Macaca mulatta: one gene and its partners. The protein of the gene in region 4 interacts with the protein of the main gene of each other region in a pairwise test. Links are inferred from orthologs where the notes say so. Each region holds a gene or a part of one and is shown on either strand. Other genes may lie near its edges.

Region 1 (4,094 bases), on a different chromosome or scaffold from region 4:
TTCTGGAGAGTCTGCCTTGGTCTCACCTGTCCCCATAGAGGAGGGGCTTGCTCAGACACTGGGTGCAGGCCTCATGGAACCACTGCAGGCAGCTCCGGCACTGCAGCATTTTCAGGTTCCACCTGAGGGGGAACATAGGACTTCTGGCCTCCAGAAACCCCCTTCCCCATAACTGCCCCAAACCCTAAACTTACCTCCCATCCCCCTGAGTGCTACCCTCATCCTGTTCTTTTTCCTTCATTTCCTGGGAGGCACCACCACATCATTCATTCCACAGTCTGCTCCCCCTCATTACTCACTCCCCAGGGCCACCACAGTAACAGTAACTCTGCTGTCGGTTGCTCAGATGTCCAGCATCCCAGTCCAGCCCCTTCAGTCCATATGGCAGAGAGAGCTTCATACCCAGCATGGCCCGGGCATAGGGGCCCTTCTTCAGGGCACCTCCCCTCTGCAGAGACAGGACAGGTGGATGACTTCAGAGGGGTGGGGAGAGGAAAAGGCTTGGGAGAGGATGTGGATGGGAGGCTCTCACAGGAAGGGGTAACAGGGAAGTGCCTTTACCTTGGTGGCGATCGCAAAGACACACTGGCGGCATACCCAGGATGTGCCCTCTCCCTCTCCAGGGGCTGGGGCCCTGGGAACATGGCAGTCCTGGTGATAAGCTGAAGAGTGATAATGTTAATAGTAGACCACTTATTGCATACCTGTGTGTGCTTGGTATTGGGACAGGAATAGTCTTTACCCATCTCATTTAATCCTTGACCATGTTCTTGATGAGAGGGTACATGATCCTTATTTTACGAGTCAGGGAACTGAGGCTCCTAGAGGTTAAGGGACTTGTCCAAGGTCATATGGTTAGAAAAGGATGCAGTTAAATCATCCTCTGCTTGCAAAGGTTACACCACCCCTTTCCATGGCTGCTTCTCCCTGGGCTGAAAGGGGATGAGGACTAAGATAGGGCTAAGCAGCCTGGCCAGAGCAGTGGCTTGGGGACTAAGGCCACGACAGGTGACATAAGGACCATCCTGGAGGGAAGAGCAAGCTAGACCATTCAGGTGACCTGCCCTCTCACCATGGCGACACTTCTCACAGCTGACCAGCCGGTTCCCAGGGACCACAGTCTCAGAGCGACAGACACAACAGAGGAGTTCCTCCCCAGGGAGGGCAGCTGTGAGAGAACACAGTGTCACGGGGCCTGCCCTTAAGTCTCTTTCTGCCCCTCTAAGCCAGGTTTGTTTTCCATGGGATGTGCAATCTCAGGTCTCTAGTCTTACCAGGGCTAATGTCTTTCCATAGAACCAGAAACTGCGAATCATCCTCAAACTGGACCAGACACACCTCTCTAGCACTGTCCACCTGGAATGGGTGAGCAAAGAGAATGAAATGGGAACCAGAATTAGATAAGGGAAATAGGAAAAAGATCAGAGGTAGAAGGTCTTACCTTTTTGATGGTACCCAAGTATAGCAGCCCATCAGTCCATCTGGCCAGCACATCTTGACCCTCCCAAAGTCGAGGCCTGGGGCCAGAGGTGGGAGCAGGAGAAGCTGGGTCCCAAAGTGAGGAGGTACCAGAGCGGCTCAGCCGGGGGGGCTGCGCCATTGCATCCTGGGGGGGCCTAGCCAGAAAAGAAATGGGGAGGAGAAGGTTATGAATGCTCAGAAAGCTTCCCCATTTTTTTTTTCTGAGATGGAGTTTTGCTCTGTCGCCCAGGCTGGACAATCTTGGCTCACTGCAACCATCACCTCCTGGGTTCAGGCAATTCTCCTGCCTCAGCCTCCCAAGTAGGTGGGATTAAAGGTCTACCCACCACCACGCCTGGCTATTTTTTGTATTTTTAGTAGAGAGGGGGTGTTGGCCATGTTGGCCAAACTGGTCTCGAACTCCTGACCTCATGATCCACCCACCTCAGCTTCCCAAAGTGTTGGGATTACAGGCGTGAGCCACCGCGCCCGGCCAACTTCCCCATTTTCTTTGCCTATTTTGCCGTCAAGAATGAAGGATCTGTGCCCCCATCTCCAAATCCCTGAGACACCTGGATAGGAAACCACCAGGCACCCATCACCAGCTTCTTGAGTCCTCTTTCAACTCTAGTGACTGGCTCTCCTCACGGTAACTGCCCTCCCCCCAACCCCAAACCTAGTTGCTAGTTTCCCAGCTTCCAGAGCTCTCCTGGGATATTATATCCTGGCCTTGAAATTTTAGGAGAAATTACGGTTGTAGAAGCAAAGGCTACCACTCAGTTTAGAGGTATCATAATTAGGGTGTCCTGTTGCCCAGAGATGTGTTTTGGGACCTTTTCTGGAGATGTTTTCCAGAGCAGAAACGGCTGTCTCCCCAGGCCTGCGTGTCTCATTAAGAACAATCATCCTGGTGCCAGGTTATGTCAGGTCACCCTCAAATTCGGGGCTCCCTGCCCCCGGGTTAGACAACTTCTCCGAGTGCCCCGGGAGGGGGGCGTGTCCCAGTCCTGGTCTCCACTCCCCAGGACCGCAAGTCCGAGAAGGGACTTGAGTCGGCCCAGCTCGGACCCGAGGCCAAGGCGGCGAGGCTCTCCCGCCCGCGCCCCGCGCCGACCCCCGGCTCCCTGCCCCCCACCGGCGCCTCCTGCCGCCTCCTTACCGGTGACAGCTGGGGCCGCCAGGAGCCGGGCAGGGGCAGACGTAGGAGACCTAGGCGAGTCCCCCGCGCGGAGAGGGCACGTCCGGGCGTGGGGGGGTTGTGCAGGCGGAGGCCGGGGGGTCCCCAGGCCCAGCCCCTCCGTCCCGGCGGCTCTGGGGCGTATGACGCAGCAGCCAAAGCAGCAGCAGCGGCAGGAGGAGGAGGCGGCGGGGGGGAGGGAGGGGAGGGACGGACCGGTTGGGGGGGAGGGTGGTGGGAGGGGAGGACTGGGGGGAAGGAGGAGCCGGAGGGGGGGGCGGGCACCACCTCACCCCACCTCCCTCACCTCCGACAGGCCTGGAGGGTGCCGAGGAAGAGGCAGGCCCTCCACGGCTTGGGAAGCAAAGAGTCGGACCCGGTGGGAGAGGGAATCCCCTCAGCCCCTTCCTCCGACCTGAGACTCGCCCTTGGGGCACGAGGGAATCCCCCCTCCCGGCAGCGCGCCTCCGGACTGGTCCCCCGCCCCATGCCACATCCGTTAACTGCCCCACCCCCCATGGTCACTCCAAGTCCCGCCCCCCGGCCCCAGTTCACGGCCCCGCCCTCCATTCACCCTTCTCGATGCCCCCACCACGCCCTCCTCCCTCGCGCGCCCCGCCCTCCACTCGCCGTTAGCCCCAGCCCCGCCCTCCCCGTGGCGAGTCGCGCCCCACCCGCCGCCCTTTTGCGCACGCGTGTCCCCTCCTGCGCGCGGCACCTGGGAGGACTGAGCTCCTCCTTCACGGGGCGGCGGCCGTCGGCGGTTGGCGAGAGGGAGTCGGCGGGCGTGCGCGCCGCTTCCCGGGTACGTCCCGCCCCGTGCTTCCAGGGCTGGCGCAAAGACGAAGGGGGCAAGGACCCGAGGCGGTGACGCCACCGAGAGCCAGCCAATGGGCAGCGAGCGGGCAGAGCCCCAGCCGTTCGAACGGAAAGGCAGGGAAAGGGCGGGAGGAAAGAGCCAGCAGTTTGGGAGCGCGCGCTAGCCCCGCCTCTGGACTCCGGGGTCCGGTCCCCATTTGCCGACACCCACCAAAGGAACGTTGCTCCCTGGGGCTGGGGTGGCCGGCGGAAGGGTGAAACTTATCTAGATAACTAGTGACCAAGGAGAGGGCGTGGATAGCTAGAGGGCACGCCTCCCTGATGTGAGGGACGGGGGAGGGGGTATTAGCAGAGGGGAAAATGATCCAGACCATGGTCCAGAACCGGTGAGCTAAGGAGGGGAAAAGCCCAAGCCCTCAGCCCCCGCTCCCGCCTCCCACACAAACGTTTGGCAGAGGGGACAGATCACAGCTCCCACCTTTACAGATATGAAAATATCTGCCTTCTTGGGCAGATAAACCTTTATTTAAAAAAAAAAAAACAACTATTCTTTATTTGATAGCCCTGGGACATGGTGCCCTCTACCCAATAAAGCACCAGCCAGCAACCCTCCCACTCCTCACCCAATACATACACA
Region 2 (4,214 bases), on a different chromosome or scaffold from region 4:
AGGGGCATATTTTCAACAGCATGTGTTTACTTCACGTCTCTGTGTCACATTTTGGTCATTCTCACAATATTTTAAACTTTTAAATTGTTCATATATCTATCATTGTGATCTTTGATGTTACTATTGTAATAGTGTTGTGGCACCATAAACCATGTCCAAGTAAGATGATGAACTTAGGCCGGGCGCGGTGGCTCAAGCCTGTAATCCCAGCACTTTGGGAGGCCGAGACGGGTGGATCACGAGGTCAGGAGATCGAGACCATCCTGGCTAACATGGTGAAACCCCATCTCTACTAAAAAATACAAAAAACTAGCCGGGCGAGGTGGCGGGCGCCTGTAGTCCCAGCTACTCAGGAGGCTGAGGCAGGAGAATGGCGTAAACCCGGGAGGTGGAGCTTGCAGTGAGCTGAGATCCGGCCACTGCACCCCAGCCTGGGCGACAGAGCAAGACTCCGTCTCAAAAAAAAAAAAAAAAAAAAAAAAAAAAAAAGATGATGAACTTAGCCTGTAAATGTTGTGTGTGTTTTAACTACTTTATTGACTGGCTGTTCCCCATCTCTCTCCCTCTCTATAAGTCTTCCTATTCCCTGAGACAACAATATTGAAATTAATCTGATTAATAACCCTACAATGACCTGTAAGTATTCCAGTAAGAGGAAGAGTCACATGTTTCTCACTTTGAATCAAAAGCTAGAAATGATTAAGCCCAGTGAGGAAGGCATGTCAAGAGTTGAGACCGGCCAAAAGGTAGACTTTTTGTACCAGTTAGCCAAGTTGTGAATGCAAAAGAAAAGTTCCTAGAGAAAATTAAACATGCTACACCAGTGCACACACAAATGATAAGAAAGCAAAGAAGCATTATTGCTGATATGGAGAAAGTTTGAGTAGTCTGGATAGAAGATCAAACCAACAACCACATTCCCTTAAGCCAAATCCTAATTACACAAGCTTACAGCTCTCTTTAATTCTGTGAAGGCTGAGAAAGGCAAAAAAGCTGCAGAAGAAAAGTTAGAAGCTAGTGGAGGTTGGTTTATGAGATTTAAAGAAAGATGCCATCTCCATAACATGAAAGTGCGAGGTGAAGTGGCAAGTGCTGATACAGAAGCTGCAGACAGTTATGCAGAAGATCTAGCTAAGATAACCAATGAAAGTGACTACACTCAAGAACAGATTTTCAGAGTAGACAAAACAGCCTTCTATTGGAAGAAGATAACATCTAAGACTTTCATAGCTAGAGAGGAGAAGTCAATGCATGGTTTCAAAGTTTTAAAAAATAGCCTGACTCTTTTGTCAAATGCAGTTGTTGACTTTAAGTTGAAGCCAACACTCATTTAGTATTCTGAAAATCCTAGGACCGTTAAGAATTATGCTCAATCTACTCTGCCTGTGTTCTCTAAAAGGAACAACAAAGCCTGAATGACAGCACATCTGTTTACAGCCTGGTTTACTGAATATTTTGAAGCCCACTGTTGAGCTCTACTCCTCTGTAAAAGAAGATTCCTTTCAAAATATCACTGCTCATTGGCAATGCACCTGGTCACCCAGGAGCTCTGATGGAGATGTACAAGGAGATTGATGTTATGTTCATGCCTACTAACACAGCATCTATTCTGCAGTCTATGGATCAAGGAAAAATTTCAACTTTCAAATCTTATTTAAGAATACATTTTGTAAGCCTGTAGTTCCCATAGATAATAATTTTTTTATGATGGATCTGAGTAAAGGAAATTGAAGTTGTCTAGAAAGGATTCACCATTCTGCATGGACATTCATAATTCATGGGAGAAGGTCAAGTTATCAACATTAACAGGAGTTTGGAAGAAGTTGATTCCAAAGTCATGGATAACTTTGAGCTTTCCCAACCTTCAGCAACCACCACCTGATCAGTCAGCAGTCATCCACATTGAGGCAAGACCCTCTCCATCAAAAAGATTAATACTTGGCTAGGCGTGGTGGCTCACACTTGTAATCCCAGCACTTTGGGAGGCCAAGGAGGGTGGATTATGAGGTCCCGGGATCGAGACCATCCTGGCTAACATGGTGGAACCCCATCTCTACTAAAAATACAAAAAAATTAGCTAGGTGTGGTGGTGGGCACCTGTAGTCTCAGCTACTCAGGAGGCTGAGGCGGGAGAATCACTTGAACCTGGGAGGCAGAGGTTGCAGTGAGCCTAGATCGTGCCATTGCACTCTAGCCTGGGCAACAGAGTGAGACTCTGACTTAAAGAAAAAAAAAATTAGTACTTCTGAAAGTTCAGATGATCACTAGCATATTGTAGCAATAAAGTATTTTTAATTAAGGTAGGTATATTTTTTGGACATAATGCTATTGCACATAATAGACAACAGCATAGTGTAAACATAACTTTTAAATGCCCTGGAAAACTCCAAATTTTATATGACTTGCTTTCTTGTGATATTTGCTTAATGATAGGGGTCTGAACCTGAACCTGCAGTATCTCTGAGGTATGTCTGTACATATATCAAACATATTTTGTAGTCAGTCATGCCCCGAAAGACAATGCTAAGAATACATGCAAAGATAGTATAATTATTTAAAGCAGCCAGTTCAACAATTAACCTATGGCTGTACCGTTATTTTAAATGCTTAATATCTCTTCTGTTGGAAATGGGAAGAAGCTATCATTTTGATCTATATAAACAGGAGAACTCTTACCATTTTTGTCATCATATCCCCAGTCTGGACTTGCCATTGTCTTCTACTGAGTTTTCTTTTCCTGAAAACAAAAATAATACCTGGAATAACTAACTGCAACTGTGCGTGCAGGAGATGCCTTAAATCCCTGCTTGGGCATTTTTATAGAAACTTGTTTGCCCTTAATAGGCCATTATTTCATCATCTCTGCTTATCAGGAAGTACACATATCTAAAAAAAGTGTTGTAAAAAATTCTACAAGGGCTATGTTAGTTTCAATTGCTTTATTTTCTTATATTGTAAAAGAGAATGATCAAATCCTAGATTTTATAAAGCCAAGTCCTGTTTCACTCATGTTAGTAGAAGATATGGCTTAATATTATCACATATAATTCTTTAGATTTTCTAAATGGAAAATATTTTGTACACTTAAGATTTCCAACTCTACCTTTGTTAGTTACTTAAGCAATATAAGCAAAAGTAATTTATCAGGAGAATAATTTGTGTGTTTACAGGCTGGTCTGAACTAGTATCATAATGTTAATTTAAAATCAGATAATTAAATTACTAATCATTTGTAATATATGCTATTTATAATGGTACATTTTACAGATGTACAGGGTAAGAATAAAGTCCTTTTTGGAGCAATATTGGAATTCATAAATGGAGAAGATTTTATTAATATTAAAGTTAAATATGGCCCAATATTTATTTGATACATCAAATAGGTCTACTAGAATGAAAGTCTTCCTTTTTAATAGTTCTATATAATTTATAAACCCCTTTCTTATTATTTTATTTCACCATCACACATACATACAAATCCCATATAGTAAGAATTAGCATTTTGTAATTGAGAGATGTTGAGGTACTTTGCCATAACTTGCAACAAGCCAAGAAGCCAAGACTTCAGCCTCCTAATCCAGTTGCCTTCTTCACTTACCTTCACCAAATGCCACAATTAATTCCCCTCCTATGCTCACAATACTCTTAAGTCCAAGTTAAGCCTGGACCAAGATGAAAACTGATGCCCACTCAATGATGAGAAGCTACACAGGACTTTTCAGGAAGGCAAAGAAAACTGATTAGAATGTGCCAGACTCTGACCAGTTCTACATATTCAAAGCTCTAAACATGCTTAAAGAGAAGACAACCAGAAAAATAAGCTTCCATAGTGATGCTTTTTTCATGCCATGATAGTCATTCCTCGTTTCACACTGTAAGGAGCTGCTGCAACCCTTAAAAGAAGAGAAGGATCAGGGCAATTTTCACCAAGGCTGACTGGAGACACGTTGTTTGCTCCTTTGCAGTTAATGATGGTGCATTGTCTTATAGGCAGAGTGGGATGTGGTCATGAACATCCACAGAGTGGGAAGAGACGCAAGCTCCCATTCTATGGCTTCAGTAAGCATAAGAAGATATTGTTTAAAAGGGAATTGTTTTTTTTTCAAAGTACTGTTTATTGAAGGCCCAATAGGGATCAACTGCTGTGCTAAAAACTTTATGTGCATCAACTTATTTAATTCTTATTATAACAAAATTGGGCATTAAAATCTGTG
Region 3 (4,110 bases), on a different chromosome or scaffold from region 4:
GAAGGAGCAAGGACAGAGGTCAGGCTATCTCCCTCCAATGTGCTGGTATCCAAGACCCTTTCTCCTCCACCCCAAAAGATAGCCACTTTGTGGATTAATTCATGCAGTTAGAAGCCCCGCCCCCACCCCAACCCAGTTTTCCCACTACTGGATGCTGAATATAGGTAAGGGTTCACTGAAATCTGGGAGCTGGTTCCTTAGAGTGGCTCAGAGAAGTCAATGTATTCGCCAAGGGCCCCTCTTGACCTCTCCATCTCGGTATGGGTCAGCTCCTGCAGGGTGATGATCAAATTCTCAAAAACCTGGACCTTGTCACTCTCGTTGTCACAGGCTTCTTTTGAGTGACCCTCGTCACCACAATAGGAACAGCGGATTGCGTGTTTTCGCTTCCTGGCTCTACGCATCTCCCCGGGACCATTATTCTTATAGCCAGAACCACCACTGGTGGAAGGAAACTGAGCCCTAGAATTGTGGGGGGAATCAATGACCAGCACTTCATCCTGAAGTCTGGCCCTGTCTCTGAGGGGAGGGGCACCCCAGGATGGAAGTGGAGGGTCCTGAGACTCCACCAGGATCACATCCTCATCGGAGTCGTCGAGGGTATCATCTATCTCTATTACATTGCAGTCAGCACTGCCGATCACTATCGGTGGGGAGCCCTGAAACGCCACAGGGCTGACTGCCCTCTCCACCATTGACTCAGACCTTTTTGGCCGCTTCCGTTTAATAAAAGCATCATCCCAATCCTCTTCCTCCCTTACCATTCTGATTAACTCCAGAAAATCGGGAAGCCGCTCCTGCTCATTTGCATACATCCTGAGAAAATCCTTAAGTCTGAGTCGGAGGTCCCTACTCAGCTCACCGCCTAAAAGGAGCTGCTGCAAGCGAGTCCGGTTTGCATCTTTCTCAGCTATGATGCCTGCCTGAATAGCGTTCTGGAGCTGCACCTCTAAACGGATCACGTAAAGGGAGGTTTTCTCCCCTTGAGCTTGTAAGGTGTTAAAAAATTTACCATGGGCAGTCACACTGCTTTCAGACTCCCCAAACACCAATTTCATGGCTCGCAAGAAATCTGCCACACTTAGGTTAGGGTTGGTCGCCTGAAGCACACGCATGACCTCGCGGGCAGGGCCCCTAAGGGTTTTCATCAAGCGCTTGAGCTTTTCCTCCTCAGACATACTCCAATCTGGCAGGACCCCATTGACTTGGGTCAGCCAGTTTTCAAAGGTTTCTTCCCCCTGGGCTGGCACCACCCTCCCCGAGAACAACTTCATGTTTCTGTCTGCCATGCTGGCCATTATAGGACCGAGACTTCTCCCCAGGGACCTCAGCATGGAATGGGCCCAAGGCGGCAAGGGTGCGTTCTGCCGCCGGCTGTTACCGACACGTGCAATGATGCTAGCCATGACTGACGACGATAGGGTATCTGAATATAAGATGCCTAGACTTTTTAGAGAAGCTTAATCTGCAGGCGGGAGAGGAGAGGGGGTGGCTCTGCGTTCCTATCTCAGCAGGGGCTGTAAAAAAGAAAGGGGAGCTGGTTAATAAGGGAGCAGGCTGCAGCTGCATTCTCTCCCTACCTGAATATCCTGCAGTACATTTTATATTTGCCCACTACCCTAAAAATAATCCTGTAGGAGACTGGCACTTACAACCTCCCAGAGCTACCCGATGGCTGCGTGCTAGCAAGGTGCTTTTTGCAGCCACATCCATCCCTCCCACCAGTCCTCCAACAGGGAGGGCAACTGTTGCTTCAAATTCTAGGTGTAGCAGTGTCTGGAGCTGATATTGGGCTCTCCAAATAGAGTACAATGATCGCAGATTTGTGGAAATAAAATCTCATTAACCTCATGGTCTCTGGTCTCAACCACACCCCCTTCTCAAAGTGCCCCCCACCCCCGTCTCCCTCTTTATTTCTCAGATTCTTACACGAACTCTGAAACAAGAGCGCGCCTTTATTTCATTTCCAGCCTCTGCAACCAGTGCCCTCCGTGGGAAAGCTCCTCTCCGGGTACGGTCAACCTCTGTCCACAGGGGGTCGCAGATCCGGGTCCTCGAGGTTTCAAGATTGCGCCACAGCGGAGAAGGCCAGAGAAGGGAAGGGTTAGTAGCAGCTTCACCCATCATCCTGCTACCCACAACCTCCGCTGTTGCCAGGCGAAAAATTCTCTCTGCCCCCTCCTGACTATAAGCCAGACACCAGCCCCCCACCCCCAGCATTACATCTCCCCCAGGAAGCCGTCGGCCTACCAGCTCTGCAATCAGCTGCACAGAATTGAAGTTCAGATGCGGCTTTGATGGCCTGCCACGGAGAAAGGGAATAGGAGTTGGACACACCCACCCACATATTCCTCCCAGAAAGAGATGAGTAGATGCAAAGGAGGTTCGAAGCAAACAGCTTGAGATTCCTACCCACCCCCCCGCCCCACCGCTACCCCTCGCCTCTGCCCCCCCCCCAAATCCAGGCAAATCTTACCCAGTCCGCAGTATCCAGGTGAACCCCACCTCCTCCCTCAGCGCAGCCGGGCCAAGAGAGTACTCCTACCCCTGCCTCGCAGTCACCGATTCTCCAAGCGGGGCGCCGCCCAGTACTGGTGGGTCTTCCCCCACCCCTCTCCCCGCCGGGCAATCGCACCCCCCTTCTTTACCTGTGCTCCGCTGGTGGGCAGCTGATGCTCCCGCGTCGCCAGCTGTAGATTCCGCCTTCTGGTCTCCTCCGCCCTGCAGGGGGGCAAAGAATTGAAGCCTCCTTGGCCGCTAAGCGACCAGGGGCTGCCCGAAGGAGCTGCTTCGCACGGCCGCCCAACCAGGGGTAGCCGAGACGAGACAGCGCGGTTCCCAAGGCAGCCGCGGCGGCTTTTATCCTGGGCCAGCTGAGACAAAAGAGCGTGACGAGCGGGCCAGTGCGGCCAATCAGCGAAGTGCGGGGGCGGACGCCCGGCACAGCCTTGGGCAGAGGCGAGTTTTCGCCCGAGGGGGCAGGGGCGCAGCAGGCCCGCGGAGCGTCAAGTGCAGCTTGATTAGACCTATGGAGCCAATCTGCCTGTTACCCGGGAATTTGCGACTCTTTCTTCCTCCCCCAACCCTTCCCTTCTCCCTGGGCTCAACGCTACATCTTAGGCCAGGTGCATTAAACACGAACTGGGTCCAAAATCAAGTGAATAATAAAAGCTCTTCACCTTGGTATAGGAGAAAGAGGGGGAAGAGGGGAAGGGGCGGGAAGAGCATTAGCACGTGCATTGCGGAAACAGGCTTTCACAGACATCTCCTCTTTTATTGTGAAGGAAGTATCAGTATGTCCATTTAACAGAGCGGAGAGCTGGAGAACAAGGCTCTCAACCAATACCCATTCAAGTATGGGTGCAAGACATCAGAGTCATTTGGGGGAGCTTGTTAGAAATGCGTCTTCTGGCCCGGCGTGGTGGCTCACACCTGTAATCCCAGCACTTTGGGAGGCCGAGGCGGACGGATCACGAGGTCAAGAGATAGAGACCATCCTGGCCAACATGGTGAAACCCCGTCTCTACTAAAAATACAAAAGATATATATATATATATCAGCTGGGCATGTGGTGCGTGCCTGTAATCCCAGCTACTCGCGAGGCTGAGGCTAGAGAATCGCTCCAACCTGGGAGGCTGAAGTTGCAGTGAACCAAGATCGCACCTCTGCACTCCAGCCTGGCGACGGAGCAAGACTCCGTCTCAGAAAAAAGAAAGAAAAAAAAGAAATGTAGGCTCTGGGCCCCAATTCTGGTGAATTCAGATTTACTAGGACTAGGGGTCGGGGTGTGGTTTTATATTTAGTATTTTATTATTATTATTATTATACTTTAAGTTCTAAGGTACATGTGCACAACGTGCAGGTTTGTTACATATGTATACATGTACCATGTTGGTGTGCTGCACCCATGAACTCGTCATTTACATTAGGTATATCTCCTAATGCTATCCCGCCCCCCCCAACAATAGGACCCGGTGTGTGATGATCCCCTTCCTGTGTCCAAGTGATCTCATTGTTCAATTCCCACCTGTGAGTGAGAACATGCGGTATTTGGTTTTCTGTTCTTGCCATAGCTTGCTGAGAATGATGGTTCCCAGCTGCATCCATGTC
Region 4 (4,047 bases):
TAAGAGGACTGCATGATAGAACATATAGAACTCAAGTTTCCCTGAAAATCACTAAAATATTTACATAAGGATAGTTTTTTTTTCCAATTTTTCTTAATTTTTAAATTTTGTTTGTTTGTTTGTTTTTCTTAAGAGGTCTCACTCTGTCACCAGGCTGGAGTAGAGTGGTGCAATCACAACTCACTACAGACTCAAATTCCTGGGCTCAAGCAATCCTTCCACCTCAGTCTCCTGAGTAGCTGGGGTTACAGGAACATGCCACCAGGCCAGGGTAATTTATCTATTGATTTATTTGTGGAGAGCAGGTCTTGAACTCCTGGCTTCAAGAGATCCTCCAGTCTCTACCCCCTCAAAGTGCTGGGATTACAGGCATGATTATTATTTAGAATAACAGTCTTTATTATTCTAATTACAAGTAAAGATTCCTGAAGATGCTGAAGTATTAAATTCTCTCTCTTTTTTTTTTTTTGAGACAGAGTTTTGCTCTTGTTGTCCAAGCTGGAGTGCAATGGTGTGATCTCTGCTCACAGCAACCTCCGCCTCCCGGTTCAAGTGATTCTCCTGCCTCAGCCTCCCAAGTAGCTGGGATTACAGGCGTGCATCACCACACCCGGCTAATTTTTTGTATTTTTAGTAGAGACGGGGTTTCACCATGTTGGCCAGGTCTCAAACTCCTGACCTTGTGATCTGCCCACCTCAGCCTCTCAAAGTGCTGGGATTACAGGTGTGAGCCACCATGCCCGGCCTGAAGTGGTAAATTCTAACTCATAATTTTACTTCAGTGAGGAAAGTCCACTTTGAATTAGCAGGAATAAAGGAACTTTACATAACTCTTAAAAGATCTCATTATCAGAATGAAAAATGCATCTACTTTCCCCCTAAAAAGCATCTTTCCCCTATGAACTTTTATAAACCCAATGAAAATGTTAAGTTCTAGTCTCTCGACTCACTTACTTAAAGTCTTATAATGCATTAGGAAACCCAATTATAGTCCATCTACCCCTAAGACGCAGCTGTTGCAACACTTCCATACAGGATTCTTGCACATCTATAAATGAAATAAACTATATTGGAGGAATAAACTAGCCAATGCATGCAGAAAGTTATATAGGCAGTAATGTTGCTTTCAAAGGAGTTTTTGTTTTGTTTTTCAAATGGAGTCTCACTTTGTTGCCCAGGCTGGAGTGCAATGGCACCATCTCTGCTCACTGCAACCTCCGCCTCCCGGGTTCAAGTGATTCTCCTGCCTCAGCCTCCCGAGTGGCTAGGATTACAGGCCCGCAGCACCACACCCGGCTAATTTTTGTATTTTTAGTATAGACAGGGTTTCACCACATTGGCCACGATGGTCTCGAACTCTTAGGCCGAAGTGATCCACCCGTCTCAGCCTCCCAAAGTGCTAGGATTACAGGCGTGAGCCACCGAACCCGGCCGAAAGGAGATATATCATCTGTTATCAACAATTGGCTTGATACGTAAAGATCCAGAAGCATCGTAAGTTTTCTTCGTCACTTTTTCATTTCACAGCTTATGTTTTAAAAGTCAGAAATCCCAGAATTAAGTAAAGTCTTAAAGCAAGCTAGTGATAAGATATAACTGCACGGACTTCTTCATCAAGGACTTCCATATCTTTCCAACAAGAAACGAACGAATATTCATCATTAAGCACCAGCTCCCAATTTCCCAACTTCCTAGATAGCCTTCCTATGCTGTATGTAACCCCTTCTTCACATAACGTCAGACTTACCCCCACATACACCATCAGTCCCCAAGTCTCCAATGCACATGGGCACAAAAGCCTCTCAACATTCATCTGGTTGCTAATCAGGGACCACTCTTCCTTCTTCCACTGATCCTGCGCAGGCTTCATATAGCCTACAATCGCTTTTTCCATTTCTTCCACAACACTACTCAAAGCGACAAAGGAACAAGTCCCCTTTCCACAATCGTAGACAGTTTTTTAAAACTCTATACACCTCCTTCCCACTCAACCACTTTTCTTAGTCTCTATCCGCCTTTGTTATTCAGGTGTAGGGTCTGGGAAAATCTCACTCACCTCATGCTATAGGCACCAGCACCCAGTTCCTGGCCGATCCCGGACAGGCTAGCATCAAAGTCCTGCACCAACCCGGATTCAATCACTTCGTCGGCCAGAGGCAGCTTCAGAGCCCAGGCCATCCTGGCTCCTTCCTTGCCCCAGGAGACACTGTGTCTTGTACAAAGGCGCGGAGGGTAATTCTACCCAACAGGAGTAACACAGTAGAAAACTACAAACCAAGGTTTCCCACGGAGTGCCCACCAGCCACCCCCAAGCCCGACCAGCACTGCTCGTATAACTAATCTCCCGTATCCTTGGCTGCTAGTTCTTGGTTGCCCCAGGTTCCAAAATCCCCCCTGCTCAGGTCTCAGGAACGTGAGGACCCCTTTGCTCAACTACTGCAGACTTCCCAGAAGCAGCTCTGGACTCCCGCACTCCCACTCCTTAAGATACCCTCTTGAGAGTTCGTAGTGGTGGCTTGCTGCTTCCCAGACAGACCAGCAGCAGCCGCAGGAAGCTAGCCCGGCGCTCCCACGCTGCTTTTGCACCTTTTCCCCCGCCCCTTTCTGCTGGAGGCCCCCTCCCTCCCAGGGCTCGCTCTCTCTTTCCCCTCCAGGCCTCGCTTCCGGTCAGTCCCACGATCACTTCCGGTCACCCCCTCTGAACCCCACGGCCTAAAACCAAATCCAGGTTTCCGCTGAGCCGACTCCTTGCTCTCTGTAGCCCCCCACGGCCTGGAAACATGGAAGGAGAAAGTCCAGCACAGGCGTGAAACCTGGACTCCCCAGGCCCTTCCACCGCCCGCCGCCCCAGCGCCAACCAATCATGGCGTCCTCTTTCTTCGCCTGCCCGGCGAACATGACGTCACGCTGTCGCTCGCCTATAAAGAAGAGACCTCGTCAGTCTCGGCAGCGATGATAGGCGGGCTGCGCCTCGGCTCTGCCCCCGAGATGGGCTGGGCGATCACGGAGAGGACCCGGCGTGCAAGTGTCCGGGTTTAAACGTCTGTCCGTGTAGTTACCAGAGCTCTGGTATCCGCTACCCTTCAAGTCATCACCCTGAACCGTGGAAGGAGCCCTCCTTCTAGCCTTATGAACCCACTCCACCCCTGGCGGACTCTTGACTACTTCCCAAACGCTCCTTACGTGCGCGCGCTTGCTCCTGCTCATCCTCCTGTCTCCTTAAACTCACCTCTTCCGAGGTCGAGACCCTGCATAAATCCCACTTCCCTCTATATTCATTTTATCTTAGGCGTCCTCTCTAATGCAATTGAACAGAAAAGCATGAGATCAGTAAAAATGTGGTTTTTAGGCCGGGCGAGGTGGCTCACGCCTGTAATTCCAGCACTTTGGGAGGCCGAGGTGGGCGGATCACCTGAGGTCGGGAGTTCAAGACCAGCCTGACCAACATGGAGAAACCCCGTCTCTACTAAAAATACAAAAATTGGCCGGGTGTGCAGGCGCGAGCCTGTAATCCCAGCTACTCAGGAGGCTGAGGCAGGAGAATCACTTGAACCCAGGAGACGGAGGTTACGGTGAGCCGAGATCGGGCCATTGCACTCCAGCCTGGGCAACAAGAGTGAAACTCCATCTCAAAAAAAAAAGAAAAAAAAGAAAAAAAGAAAAGAAAAGCTGGGCGCGGTGGCTCACTCCTGTAATCCCAGCACTTTAGGAGGCCGAGACAGGCGGATCACGAGGTCAGGAGATGGAGAGCATCCTGGCTAATACGGTGAAACCCCGTCTCTACTAAAAATACAAAAAATTAGCCAGGCATGGTGACGGGCGCCTGTCGTCCCAGCTACTCGGGAGGCTGAGGTGGGAGAATGGCGTGAACCCGGGAGGTGGAGCTTGCGGTGAGCCGAGATGGCACCACTGCACTCCAGCCTGGGTGACAGAGCGAGACTCCGTCTCAAAAAAAAAAAAAAAAAAAAAAAAATTGTGGTTTTTAAAAGGTGGTTGTGCTGGTATGGGGTGTTGGAATTTAAAAAGATCTGAAAATCAGAGTTTAGG

Evidence for each region. The genes of interacting proteins can lie anywhere in the genome.
Region 1: the proteins of TFCP2 (region 4) and PHF1 interact in binary tests that used the Homo sapiens proteins (3 or more experiments, as listed by UniProt). The two-hybrid records come from large-scale screens. The link is inferred for Macaca mulatta from reciprocal best matches to the Homo sapiens genes TFCP2 and PHF1.
Region 2: the proteins of TFCP2 (region 4) and CA1 interact in binary tests that used the Homo sapiens proteins (3 or more experiments, as listed by UniProt). The two-hybrid records come from large-scale screens. The link is inferred for Macaca mulatta from reciprocal best matches to the Homo sapiens genes TFCP2 and CA1.
Region 3: the proteins of TFCP2 (region 4) and ZCCHC12 interact in binary tests that used the Homo sapiens proteins (3 or more experiments, as listed by UniProt). The two-hybrid records come from large-scale screens. The link is inferred for Macaca mulatta from reciprocal best matches to the Homo sapiens genes TFCP2 and ZCCHC12.

The regions. Positions count from the first base shown.
Region 1 is NC_133409.1:148,867,582-148,871,675, forward strand, and holds the start of PHF1 (PHD finger protein 1), read right to left. Parts: upstream 2,835-4,094; 5' UTR 2,621-2,834; intron 1,617-2,620; 5' UTR 1,601-1,616; coding exon 1,442-1,600; intron 1,357-1,441; coding exon 1,275-1,356; intron 1,169-1,274; coding exon 1,073-1,168; exon of another isoform or gene 747-1,072; coding exon of another isoform or gene 743-746; intron 663-742; coding exon 562-662; intron 449-561; coding exon 300-448; intron 123-299; coding exon 27-122; intron 1-26. UniProt on the Homo sapiens protein: Polycomb group (PcG) that specifically binds histone H3 trimethylated at 'Lys-36' (H3K36me3) and recruits the PRC2 complex. Involved in DNA damage response and is recruited at double-strand breaks (DSBs).
Region 2 is NC_133413.1:95,947,580-95,951,793, forward strand, and holds the start of CA1 (carbonic anhydrase 1), read right to left. Parts: upstream 2,835-4,214; 5' UTR 2,714-2,834; coding exon 2,677-2,713; intron 1-2,676. UniProt on the Homo sapiens protein: Catalyzes the reversible hydration of carbon dioxide. Can hydrate cyanamide to urea.
Region 3 is NC_133426.1:125,284,907-125,289,016, reverse strand, and holds the start of ZCCHC12 (zinc finger CCHC domain-containing protein 12), read right to left. Parts: upstream 2,835-4,110; 5' UTR 2,649-2,834; intron 2,303-2,648; 5' UTR 2,251-2,302; intron 2,054-2,250; 5' UTR 1,930-2,053; intron 1,518-1,929; 5' UTR 1,407-1,517; coding exon 198-1,406; 3' UTR 1-197. UniProt on the Homo sapiens protein: Transcriptional coactivator in the bone morphogenetic protein (BMP)-signaling pathway. It positively modulates BMP signaling by interacting with SMAD1 and associating with CBP in the transcription complex.
Region 4 is NC_133416.1:58,370,851-58,374,897, forward strand, and holds the start of TFCP2 (alpha-globin transcription factor CP2), read right to left. Parts: upstream 2,880-4,047; 5' UTR 2,179-2,879; coding exon 2,057-2,178; exon of another isoform or gene 1,433-2,056; intron 1,166-1,432; exon of another isoform or gene 1-1,165.